Linked DNA regions of Callithrix jacchus. The protein of the gene in region 1 purifies or fractionates together with the protein of each later gene. This does not show direct contact. Links are inferred from orthologs where the notes say so. Each region holds a gene or a part of one and is shown in the gene's direction. Other genes may lie near its edges.

Region 1 (3,419 bases):
TCTTAAAAGAGTACTTGATGGTGATAGAAATCCCCGTCCAAGGCTGGGACCATGGCACAACTCATCTCATTAATGCTGCAAAGTAAGCAGTTTATGTTCAGCTCTCTCCTGTGTCATCTGTAACTATCTTCAACCGCAGCCACATGAGCTGCTGCCACCCTGAAGCTCAATGGTAGAGTGATTTGCAGCCAGTTTCTGCCAATGGGAAACAAATTCAGAGTCTTGTGCATGGTTAGAGAGGATTATCTAAGGTACTACTAACTTGTTTCAAATCGAAACAAGTAATTTATCCATAATGATTTTCCTATATATCTGGACCCTGAAAGTCCAGATATGTCCCCTGGCTCTCTTCTGTTGGGACCAATAACCACTGTTCTTACTTAGATAGCTTCCCTACCATTCTGTGAACAGGCGACACACCTATCTGTCTAAGCTGGCTTTTCTGATGTGCCATTGCAGAATTATGAGTTTTTAAAGTGCATTTACACATCTAGGATAGTTGTTTTGTGTGTTTGTATTTTAATTACTCCAGTACTTATTAAAAAGACTAGCAAGTGAAAACACTTGGAAACAAAAGCCTTTCTGTCTTGGCTGCTTGGTAAGAATGGGCACATCAGACATAGAAGGGACTGTAAGTTGTTTAAGTTGCAGCTCATGATTCTGCCATGTGGAAATGGGAGGAAAGCCCCAGAATGCCCATTGTGTAGGTATCCGGTCTTTAAACATTGGCTTTATGTGGAAGAGATGCCTGTTTCTGAGCACGTGAAGGACATCTGTCTCTCAAAGTGGAGATTAGCGAATTAGAGTCAACAGTAAACAGACAGTGCCTTTGAGTGTGTCTGCGTCTTAGTTACTCATGGCGGCTCATGCTGGTGAAGACCAGACACAGGATTAAAGTTAGTAACAGCAAAATACCCAACCTAAAAAGTTTCAAAGTAGTTAATACTATAAAATAGACTAGTCCCCAGACGAATAGCCTGAGTCATGTTTTACTCAGAATTTGATCTCTGAGAAATTAGAAAGTAAACTGATATTTTCTTAGCCCTTGTTTTAGAACTATCTATAATTTTGGATGGACCAAGATTGATTAAATGAAACTGTGATTTTTAAAAATAAGGAAGTCTTAGCAAACTACCTGACATCATTCTTGACTCTAGAAAATGTGTCAGATCATGTTATGTGAAAAGTGTGAGCTCTTCATCACAGGCCTGCATTTCAATGAATGGTTCTACGATTCTTGCCGTAATCCACATTCTAAAACTTTGTCCTATGGGCTAAATGATGTAAAACTTTGTGTGTGATTTTGTTTCATCTCAAACATATTTTTTCCTTTTGGCCTTCAGGTTGGATGAAGCTAATTTACCCAAAGAAATCAATCTGGTAGATGATTACTTTGAACTTGTTCAGCATGAGTACAAGAAATGGCAGGAAAACAGCGAGCAGGGGAGGAGGGAGCTGCTTGCCCAGAATCCCATGGAACCTTCAATGCCCCAGCTTTCTCTCATGGATGTAAAATGTGAAACGCCCAACTGCCCCTTCTTCATGTCTGTGAACACCCAGCCATTATGCCATGAGTGCTCAGAGAGGCGGCAAAAGAATCAAAACAAACTCCCAAAGCTGAACTCCAAGCCGGGCCCTGAGGTGCTCCCTGGCATGGCACTCGGGGCCTCTCGGGGAGAAGCCTATGAGCCCTTGGTGTGGAACCCCGAGGAGCCGGCTGGGGGGCCTCATTCAGCCCCACCGACAGCACCTAGCCCCTTTTTGTTCAGCGAGACCACTGCCATGAAGTGCAGGAGCCCCGGCTGCCCCTTCACACTGAACGTGCAGCACAATGGATTTTGTGAACGTTGCCACAACGCCCGGCAACTTCGCGCCAGCCACGCCGCAGACCACACCAGGCACTTGGATCCCGGGAAGTGCCAAGCCTGCCTCCAGGACGTTACCAGGACATTTAATGGGATCTGCAGTACTTGCTTCAAAAGGACTACGACGGAGGCCTCCTCCAGCCTCAGCACCAGCCTCCCTCCCTCCTGTCACCAGCGCTCCAAGTCAGATCCCTCGCAGCTCGTCCGGAGCCCCTCCCCACATTCTCGTCATAGAGCTGGAAACGACGTCCCCGCTGGCTGCCTGTCTCAAGCTGCACGGACTCCGGGGGACAGGGCGGGGACGAGCAAGTGCAGAAAAGCTGGCTGCATGTATTTTGGGACTCCAGAAAACAAGGGCTTTTGCACCCTGTGTTTCATCGAGTACAGGGAAAACAAATGTGAGTAAAATGGTTGATTTCTTAACATAGTAGCTACTGTCAAGAAGGGGTTTTGTTCCTGAACTTTAAGGGAAAAAAATCTAGTGCGGGCAGTCAGGCAGAATGGTCAGAACCTACCTTGCTGTTCTACTGGCTTGTGCATGGGACCCCGCCCATGGAGGCAAAAGGCACTGCCTGATTGCAGCAGCTCCTAATATCACATTCCAAAAACCAGAGCGCCCTGTAGACAGAGCTCATGGGATTTGCTTTTATTAGACCATTCAAGTCTGGGATATCTAAGATAGTCTAAGTTTAAACTTAACTTCTTTTGCAACTTGGGTATAATAGAACAGTCTTAAAATATGAAGAGTAGTAACTGGAGAGAAGGAAGGTGTCTATTGACACCGTAAGGGAACAGTCGTGGTTTTGGAAATCTCTAATTCAAAAGAAGGGTGACCAGGTAATGCCTGCTCTTTGCCCTGCTCCTGTGACCAATCAGTGCTCCAAGTTCAAAATGAGAGATTTGTAAAGCCAAAGATGTTTCCATAATAATGCTGTTATTTCTTCTGAATTGATACATTTAAATATATGTATATTTAAGTAGGTAAGTAGATAGATGGACATAGCTAGCTGGCTATATATTTATATATATAGCCAGCTAGTTAGATAGCTAGATAGATATTTAAGGCTGGCCTAATCTGTATTTGGCACCCGTTTATTTCTCTGATGTCAGCACCTCTCTATCTGGGGGACCCCTGTGTGGTACTAATTAGGATCCACTCTCCTGTAGATTTTGCCGCTGCCTCAGGGAAAGCCAGTCCCACAGCCTCCAGGTTCCAGAACACCGTTCCGTGCCTGGGGAGGGAATGCGGCACCCTCGGAAGCACCATGTTTGAAGGATACTGCCAGAAGTGTTTCATCGAAGCTCAGAATCAGAGATTTCATGAGGCCAAAAGGACAGAAGAGCAGCTGGTGAGACATTTTCAGGAGCTTCCCCTCCCTCCCTTGTGTTCGCTGCTTTTTGTTGAAACGTTTTCTTCCAATAGTGACAAGCAGACTGTCCTCTCTGCCAGGTTCTGTCTCCTCACGATAAAGGATTAGTTCAGAACCTGAAGGGAAACGTCCACATCACTGTGGCCCCCCAGGTCAGAAATGCTACCACTGATTTTCATGCCCC
Region 2 (2,506 bases), on another chromosome or scaffold:
CTTGCCTTGTTTAATTGACAGGATTGCTGTATCAAATGAGACAAATTACTATGAAAGTACTTACAAAAGTAAAGTAATTCAATGGAAATATAAGTCAGTATTATATAGGGGGGAAATTTTTACTATCTTTGAAAAATGTCTTTCAACAAACAAAAGTAAAAGTGGAATTCTAGGACATGTGACTATATAGACTTAAAAGTTACAGAAACATACTTCTCTGGAAGTTTTCCAAAACAACAAACTTTAAAATGCAAACAAGTTACTTTGTTTTTTGAACTTATTTAGTGCCTAAATTATTTGTAGATTTGGTTATTACTGACTATATAAGTGTAGTTAAAGGAGTTTAATGGATTTCTTTTTCTTTTTTTAATGAAGATGATTTGTCATTAATTCGGAAGAATAGAATGGCTCTCTTTCAACAGTTGACGTGTGTGCTTCCTATCCTGGATAATCTTTTAAAGGCCAATGTAATTAATAAACAGGAACATGATATTATTAAACAAAAAACACAGATTCCTTTACAAGCAAGAGAACTGATTGATACCATTTTGGTTAAAGGAAATGCTGCAGCCAACATCTTCAAACACTGTCTAAAAGAAATTGACTCTACGTTGTATAAGAACTTATTTGGTGAGTTTGTTGGGAGAATTATTTTAGAAATTCTTAGGACTATGTTCATCTCTGTTTGACAAGCAAATAAATCCAATTAGCAACGGTCTGTATTTCACTTGTTCCCAAAAAGCGGCCTTTTCTTTCCCAAGTAGTATGCCTAAATGTAACAGTTCTGATGATACATAGCTACGATCTACATCATTTCATAAATAGGTGAAAAAAAGAGGTAGTAGGTGAAGCAGTTTTGTGTTAGTAGAGTGATGCTTTTTATATGTTTTCTTTCCTCAGTGGATAAGAATATGAAGTATATTCCAACAGAAGATGTTTCAGGTAAAACAAAGATTTAAAACCAACAAAAACTATTACCCTTATTTTTTTTTTAATGGGAAATGAAGTGGAAACAGTTTCACTAATGTTATTTTTTGTTACTAGGTCTGCCACTGGAAGAACAATTGAGGAGGCTGCAAGAAGAAAGAACTTGTAAAGTGTGTATGGACAAAGAAGTTTCTATTGTATTTATTCCTTGTGGTCATCTGGTAGTATGCCAGGAATGTGCCCCTTCTCTAAGAAAATGCCCTATTTGCAGGGGTATAATCAAGGGTACTGTTCGTACTTTTCTCTCTTAGAGAAAAATAGGCTATATTTTAACCTGTATAAAAAAGTCTCTAAAATATTGTTGAACACTTGAAGCCATCTGAAGCAAAAAGGGAATTATTAGTTTTTCAATTAGTAACATTCATGTTTTAGTCTGCTTTGGTACTAATAATCTTGTTTCTAAAAGGTAATATCATATTTAATCTTAATCTGTTTATTTACAAGGGAAGATTTATGTTTGGTGAACTATATTAGTGTGTATGTGTGGACATAAGAGGAGTTAAGGGAGTTAGTGTCACGGCTTGTTATATATCATTTAGGGAATTACTGGATTTGGTATTCTTTCAGAAAGCTCTGAATACTAGATTACAGTGTAGATTAAAATAACTGGAAACCGGGAGCTCTGGAGTTCATCAGAGTTACGGTGCCAAATTGTCTTCGGTGCTTTTCACTTGTGTTTTAAAATAAGGATTTTTCTCTTATTTCTCCCCTTAGTTTGTGAGAAACATCTCAGTAAAGTGCTTTAAAACGATTGTTACCAGAATATTTTTTTGTCCTGATTTAAAAAGTAATTTTCATGTGTCTTCATTGTACTCAAATGCCAACTATTAAGTAAATAATTGCATTCATGAGAAATTATTAACAAGTATTTAAAAATAATGTTATTTGGGAAATTTCTTTAGATGACAGTTTCTTGTTGCTTTGTATGTTACAGATACAATGTTGGATGAAAAACGAATCCAACATTAATTTTGAAAAACTCTTAATAAATTAGATAAATAGTTGTTGTTTTCAGACATTTGTGTAATTGCTTTGTTGCATAAGTGTTGATGGGGCGAGGAGGTGGCATAAAGGCAATGAATGGTAAGTACCTCCTTTCTGGGTCCAGTCATATTTGACCTTTCTTAGATTTGGCTCTGGCAGACTTCTGAAGCCAGGTGGATAAGGAGGTCTAATATTAAAAACTCTCCGTTTTTCTTCTCACATCACAGCTCTTTTAGATTCCTTTAGAGAACACACGGGAAGAGTGAGTGAGAATTTCTGTATCCTCCAGCCTCTTCTCTTGCTTTTGTTTCTATCCTGATGTGCTGATGCATGTATGTAAGTCCAAATGCATATATACCTAGGTTCAAGGCCTCATGAGAGAAATGCTCTCCCAGCCATTAGAGAGGGAATTCTTTTTTCCCCAAATTCAGTTGACTCAGAACAATGTTAAAACATTGTTAACTTTTCTCTGCCTTTCATTCTGGCCTATGATAGCTGACGGGATAATTAGCTCCCTCGAGGAATCAAACTAAAA
Region 3 (3,524 bases), on another chromosome or scaffold:
AAGATAGTTTTTATTTTATTCTTTAATGTTTATTAATGTTTCCCCATAACGTAGAGCTTTCCTTTTCTGTTCTGCTTTCTGTGTTCTCTACACGTATGTGAACCACAAGACTGAAGAAATCTAGCCTTTGAAAAACCCATAGTTGGAGTTTATTTGCTCTAAAACAATTTAGTTTTTTTTGTTAGGTTCAAGGATTTAAGAGACCCTTTATATTATCCACAGTCGTAAAGCAATTTGTTCCCAGTTTGTGTGTGAATGACAGCTCATCAAGACTGGTCAAATAGGACTGGGGCTAAGTTTCAGGAAGGTAGTCTAGACTCGAAATGATGATTCAAGGGTTGAAGAACTCAGCTGGTAGAGATCACAGCAGAGGCCAAGAGTTTCTAGTATTCAAAGAGAATCCAGAAAACCAGGACAAAAGCCAAGGACAGTAGCACTTAGCAAAGCAGAGAATCATGATGGGGAGAATCATCATGATGAGATGTTAGAATAATTCACAAATATTGGCATTTACAAAGCTCTTAGTTATCTCATGACTGTATCAACTCTCAAAAGTGGGTGTTATCTCCTTTATTCAAAGACATTAAGAGACTTGGTTCAAGCAACCATAGTAAGTGGCTGAGCTGAGACTGAAATCTTGTAATTTAATTCTTCAGACTGAAAATCTCACCTTCTAAGATAGTAGTGTTTTTCAGACTGTTCTGTTGATTCTGAGAATTCTGCAGAGGTAACCAAGGTGAGGGGATAGGGATGGGGAGTCTCATCCCTCGTAGGTCACACTCCATCCCAGCTTCATTCCACCAGAATTGCTGAGTTTTAAATATTACCATTACAGGCCAGGCCCTATGGCACACCCCTGTGGTTCCACTACTCAGGAGGCTGAGGTTAGTGGATTGCTTGATCCCAGGAGGTTGAGTTTACATTAAATCGTGTTTCTGACACTGTGCTTTTTTTGTTTTTAAAGGCAAAGAAGCTCTTTATTGTTACTATTATTATACTTTTAAGTTCTAGCGTTCCTGTATACAATGTGCACGTTTGTTACATAGGTATACACATGCCATGGTGGTTTGCTGCATCCATCATCCCATCATCTGCATTAGGTATTTCTCCTAATGCTATCCCTCCTCTAGTCCCCCGCCCTCTGCCAGGCCCTGGTGTGTGATGTTCCCCTCCTTGTGTCCATGTGTTCTCATTGTTCAGCTCTCACTTAAGGATGAGGACATGTGATGTTTGGTTTTCTATTCTTGTGTTAGTTTTTTGAGAATAATGGTTTCCAGCTTCATCCATGTCCCTGCAAAGGACATGAACTCATCCTCTTTTATCTCCAACTGTACTTAAGTCTGGGCAACAAAGGGAGACCCTGTCTCAAAAAAGTGGGGGTTATAAACGTGATTTCGTTGAGCAAAATTGTTTTGTGTAAAAAATTCACCTGATTAGGAGCCACAGAATTCTAATTCCAGTACTAACAATTATTTGACTGTAGGCAAGCTTGGTCATATAAAATGGGAGAGTTGGTCTTAGATAACATTTAGATTTATTTTTGACATAGTCCAATCCATTAAAAAAATTTTTTAAATTATTTTTAGAGATGAGGTCTTGCTATGTTGCCCAGGCTGGTCTCTTAGGTGGAAATAGTTCAGTTAGCATTCCATGCCAGTTCTTCAGTGAAGTCTGTGTTTATATCCTTTAGGTAGATAACTAAATGTGAATGTTTTGGTGTGTTTATGTTTTCTTGTTAAGGCAGAGTGAAACATAGTCACACCGCTGCACATCACCCCAGCTTCCTACCCTTCCCAGGATTCCCTTTCCCTTCTGTCTCTGACCAAAAAATAAAAAACAAACCCACAAAAGGTCTCTTAAAAATCTTTTTCCTCTATTTTTGTATTTTAGGAACAAGTTCCAGTTCCAGTCTACCATCCAACACCTAGCCAGACTCGGCTAGCAACTCAGCTGACTGAAGAGGAACAAATTAGGATAGCTCAAAGAATAGGACTTATACAACATCTGCCTAAAGGAGTTTATGACCCTGGAAGAGATGGATCAGAAAAAAAGATCCGAGAGTAAGTTTTAATTTGTACATTTCAAAGTTTTATTTTCAGAAATTCGCTTTGAAAAAATTTGCGTTTTCTCTTGCACTTTAGAAAGTAAGACATTTAATATATTGAAACACTTCACTTAATGCAAGGATATGTTTAATTTTTTTTTATAGCTCTTATTACTGGCTACTAACAAGAGAATGCTATAATATAATTAAGAGTTTTCACAGGCGGGGTACAGTGGCTCACACCTATAATCCCAGCACTTTGGGTGGCTGAGGTGGGCAGATCACTTGAGGCCAGGAGTTAGAGACCAACCTGGCCAACATGGTGAAACCTCGTCTCTACTAAAAATATGAAAATTAGCCAGGCATGGTGGCCTGTGCCTATAATCCCAGCTACTTGGGAGGCTGAGGTAGGAGAATCACTTGAAATTCTCAAAAATAAAATAAATAAAAAACTGGGCACGGTGGCTTACGCCTGTAATCCCAGCACTTTGGGAGACCAAGGTGAGATCCTTCACGTGCCCCTCCTGCATGGAGCCAGTTGATGCAGCACTGCTTTCATCCTATGAGACTAATTGAGCCAGGGTCTCTCATCTGACTTCAAGTGAACCATCATTTTTGGTGGTTTTGATCTTTTGTCACTGAGCCCAAAGAGCCAGGAAGGCTGAGGCAGGAGAATTGCTTGAACCCAGGAGGCAGAGGTTGCAATGAGCCGAGATTGCGCTACTGCACTACAGCCTGGGTGACAGAGCAAGACTCCATCTCAAAAAAAGGAAAGTTAATGAAGAGAGCTTTAACTTACAGCAACCCAGTAAGTAGGCTGAAGTTAGTGTTTCTGTTTTTACAGGTAGTTATTAAAATGAAAATTATCTTTCTCTAGAATTACACTAAATAGTACAAGGAAACAAAGTTGATCTAACTGATGCTTTTCTACCTATAAAGTAATCCCATTCTCCTTCTACTATAATATGTAGCTGTTTAACAAGCACACCAGTAGATGTGATCCATATGGAATCCATTTCCCTTTGCTCTGTTGATTGCTCCTAAGTCCTGCAAATTCTCAGGGATTGAAATAAGAGACTGAATAGATCAATAGTAGGAAAAAAATCAGTTTGCATGCTTTGGTGATAAGATGACAGGCAAAGCTTTCAGCTGTGTTATTCAGATTAACACTGTTTTTAATGGGATTTAAAGCGTTTTCTGAATAGGACACTTCTGAAAATGCCTTCTGATTTCTCTCCATTGCTCCCAACAGGTGTGTGATCTGTATGATGGACTTTGTTTATGGGGACCCAATTCGATTTCTGCCGTGCATGCACATCTATCACCTGGACTGTATAGATGACTGGTTGATGAGATCCTTCACGTGCCCCTCCTGCATGGAGCCAGTTGATGCAGCACTGCTTTCATCCTATGAGACTAATTGAGCCAGGGTCTCTCATCTGACTTCAAGTGAACCATCATTTTTGGTGGTTTTGATCTT

Evidence for each region. The genes of interacting proteins can lie anywhere in the genome.
Region 2: the proteins of TNFAIP3 (region 1) and BIRC2 purify together in Homo sapiens (affinity purification with mass spectrometry; 5 studies listed by BioGRID and IntAct, with this or other methods). This does not show direct contact. The link is inferred for Callithrix jacchus from reciprocal best matches to the Homo sapiens genes TNFAIP3 and BIRC2.
Region 3: the proteins of TNFAIP3 (region 1) and RNF11 purify together in Homo sapiens (affinity purification with western blotting; 3 studies listed by BioGRID and IntAct, with this or other methods). This does not show direct contact. The link is inferred for Callithrix jacchus from reciprocal best matches to the Homo sapiens genes TNFAIP3 and RNF11.

What each region holds. Positions count from the first base shown.
Region 1 is NC_133505.1:144,655,653-144,659,071, forward strand, and holds part of TNFAIP3 (tumor necrosis factor alpha-induced protein 3), read left to right. Parts: coding exon 1-82; intron 83-1,343; coding exon 1,344-2,263; intron 2,264-3,032; coding exon 3,033-3,214; intron 3,215-3,419. UniProt on the Homo sapiens protein: Ubiquitin-editing enzyme that contains both ubiquitin ligase and deubiquitinase activities.
Region 2 is NC_133511.1:2,410,879-2,413,384, forward strand, and holds the end of BIRC2 (baculoviral IAP repeat-containing protein 2), read left to right. Parts: intron 1-375; coding exon 376-630; intron 631-900; coding exon 901-942; intron 943-1,044; coding exon 1,045-1,238; 3' UTR 1,239-2,003; downstream 2,004-2,506. UniProt on the Homo sapiens protein: Multi-functional protein which regulates not only caspases and apoptosis, but also modulates inflammatory signaling and immunity, mitogenic kinase signaling, and cell proliferation, as well as cell invasion and metastasis.
Region 3 is NC_133508.1:88,144,121-88,147,644, forward strand, and holds part of RNF11 (RING finger protein 11), read left to right. Parts: intron 1-1,890; coding exon 1,891-2,060; intron 2,061-3,296; coding exon 3,297-3,468; 3' UTR 3,469-3,524. UniProt on the Homo sapiens protein: Essential component of a ubiquitin-editing protein complex, comprising also TNFAIP3, ITCH and TAX1BP1, that ensures the transient nature of inflammatory signaling pathways. Promotes the association of TNFAIP3 to RIPK1 after TNF stimulation.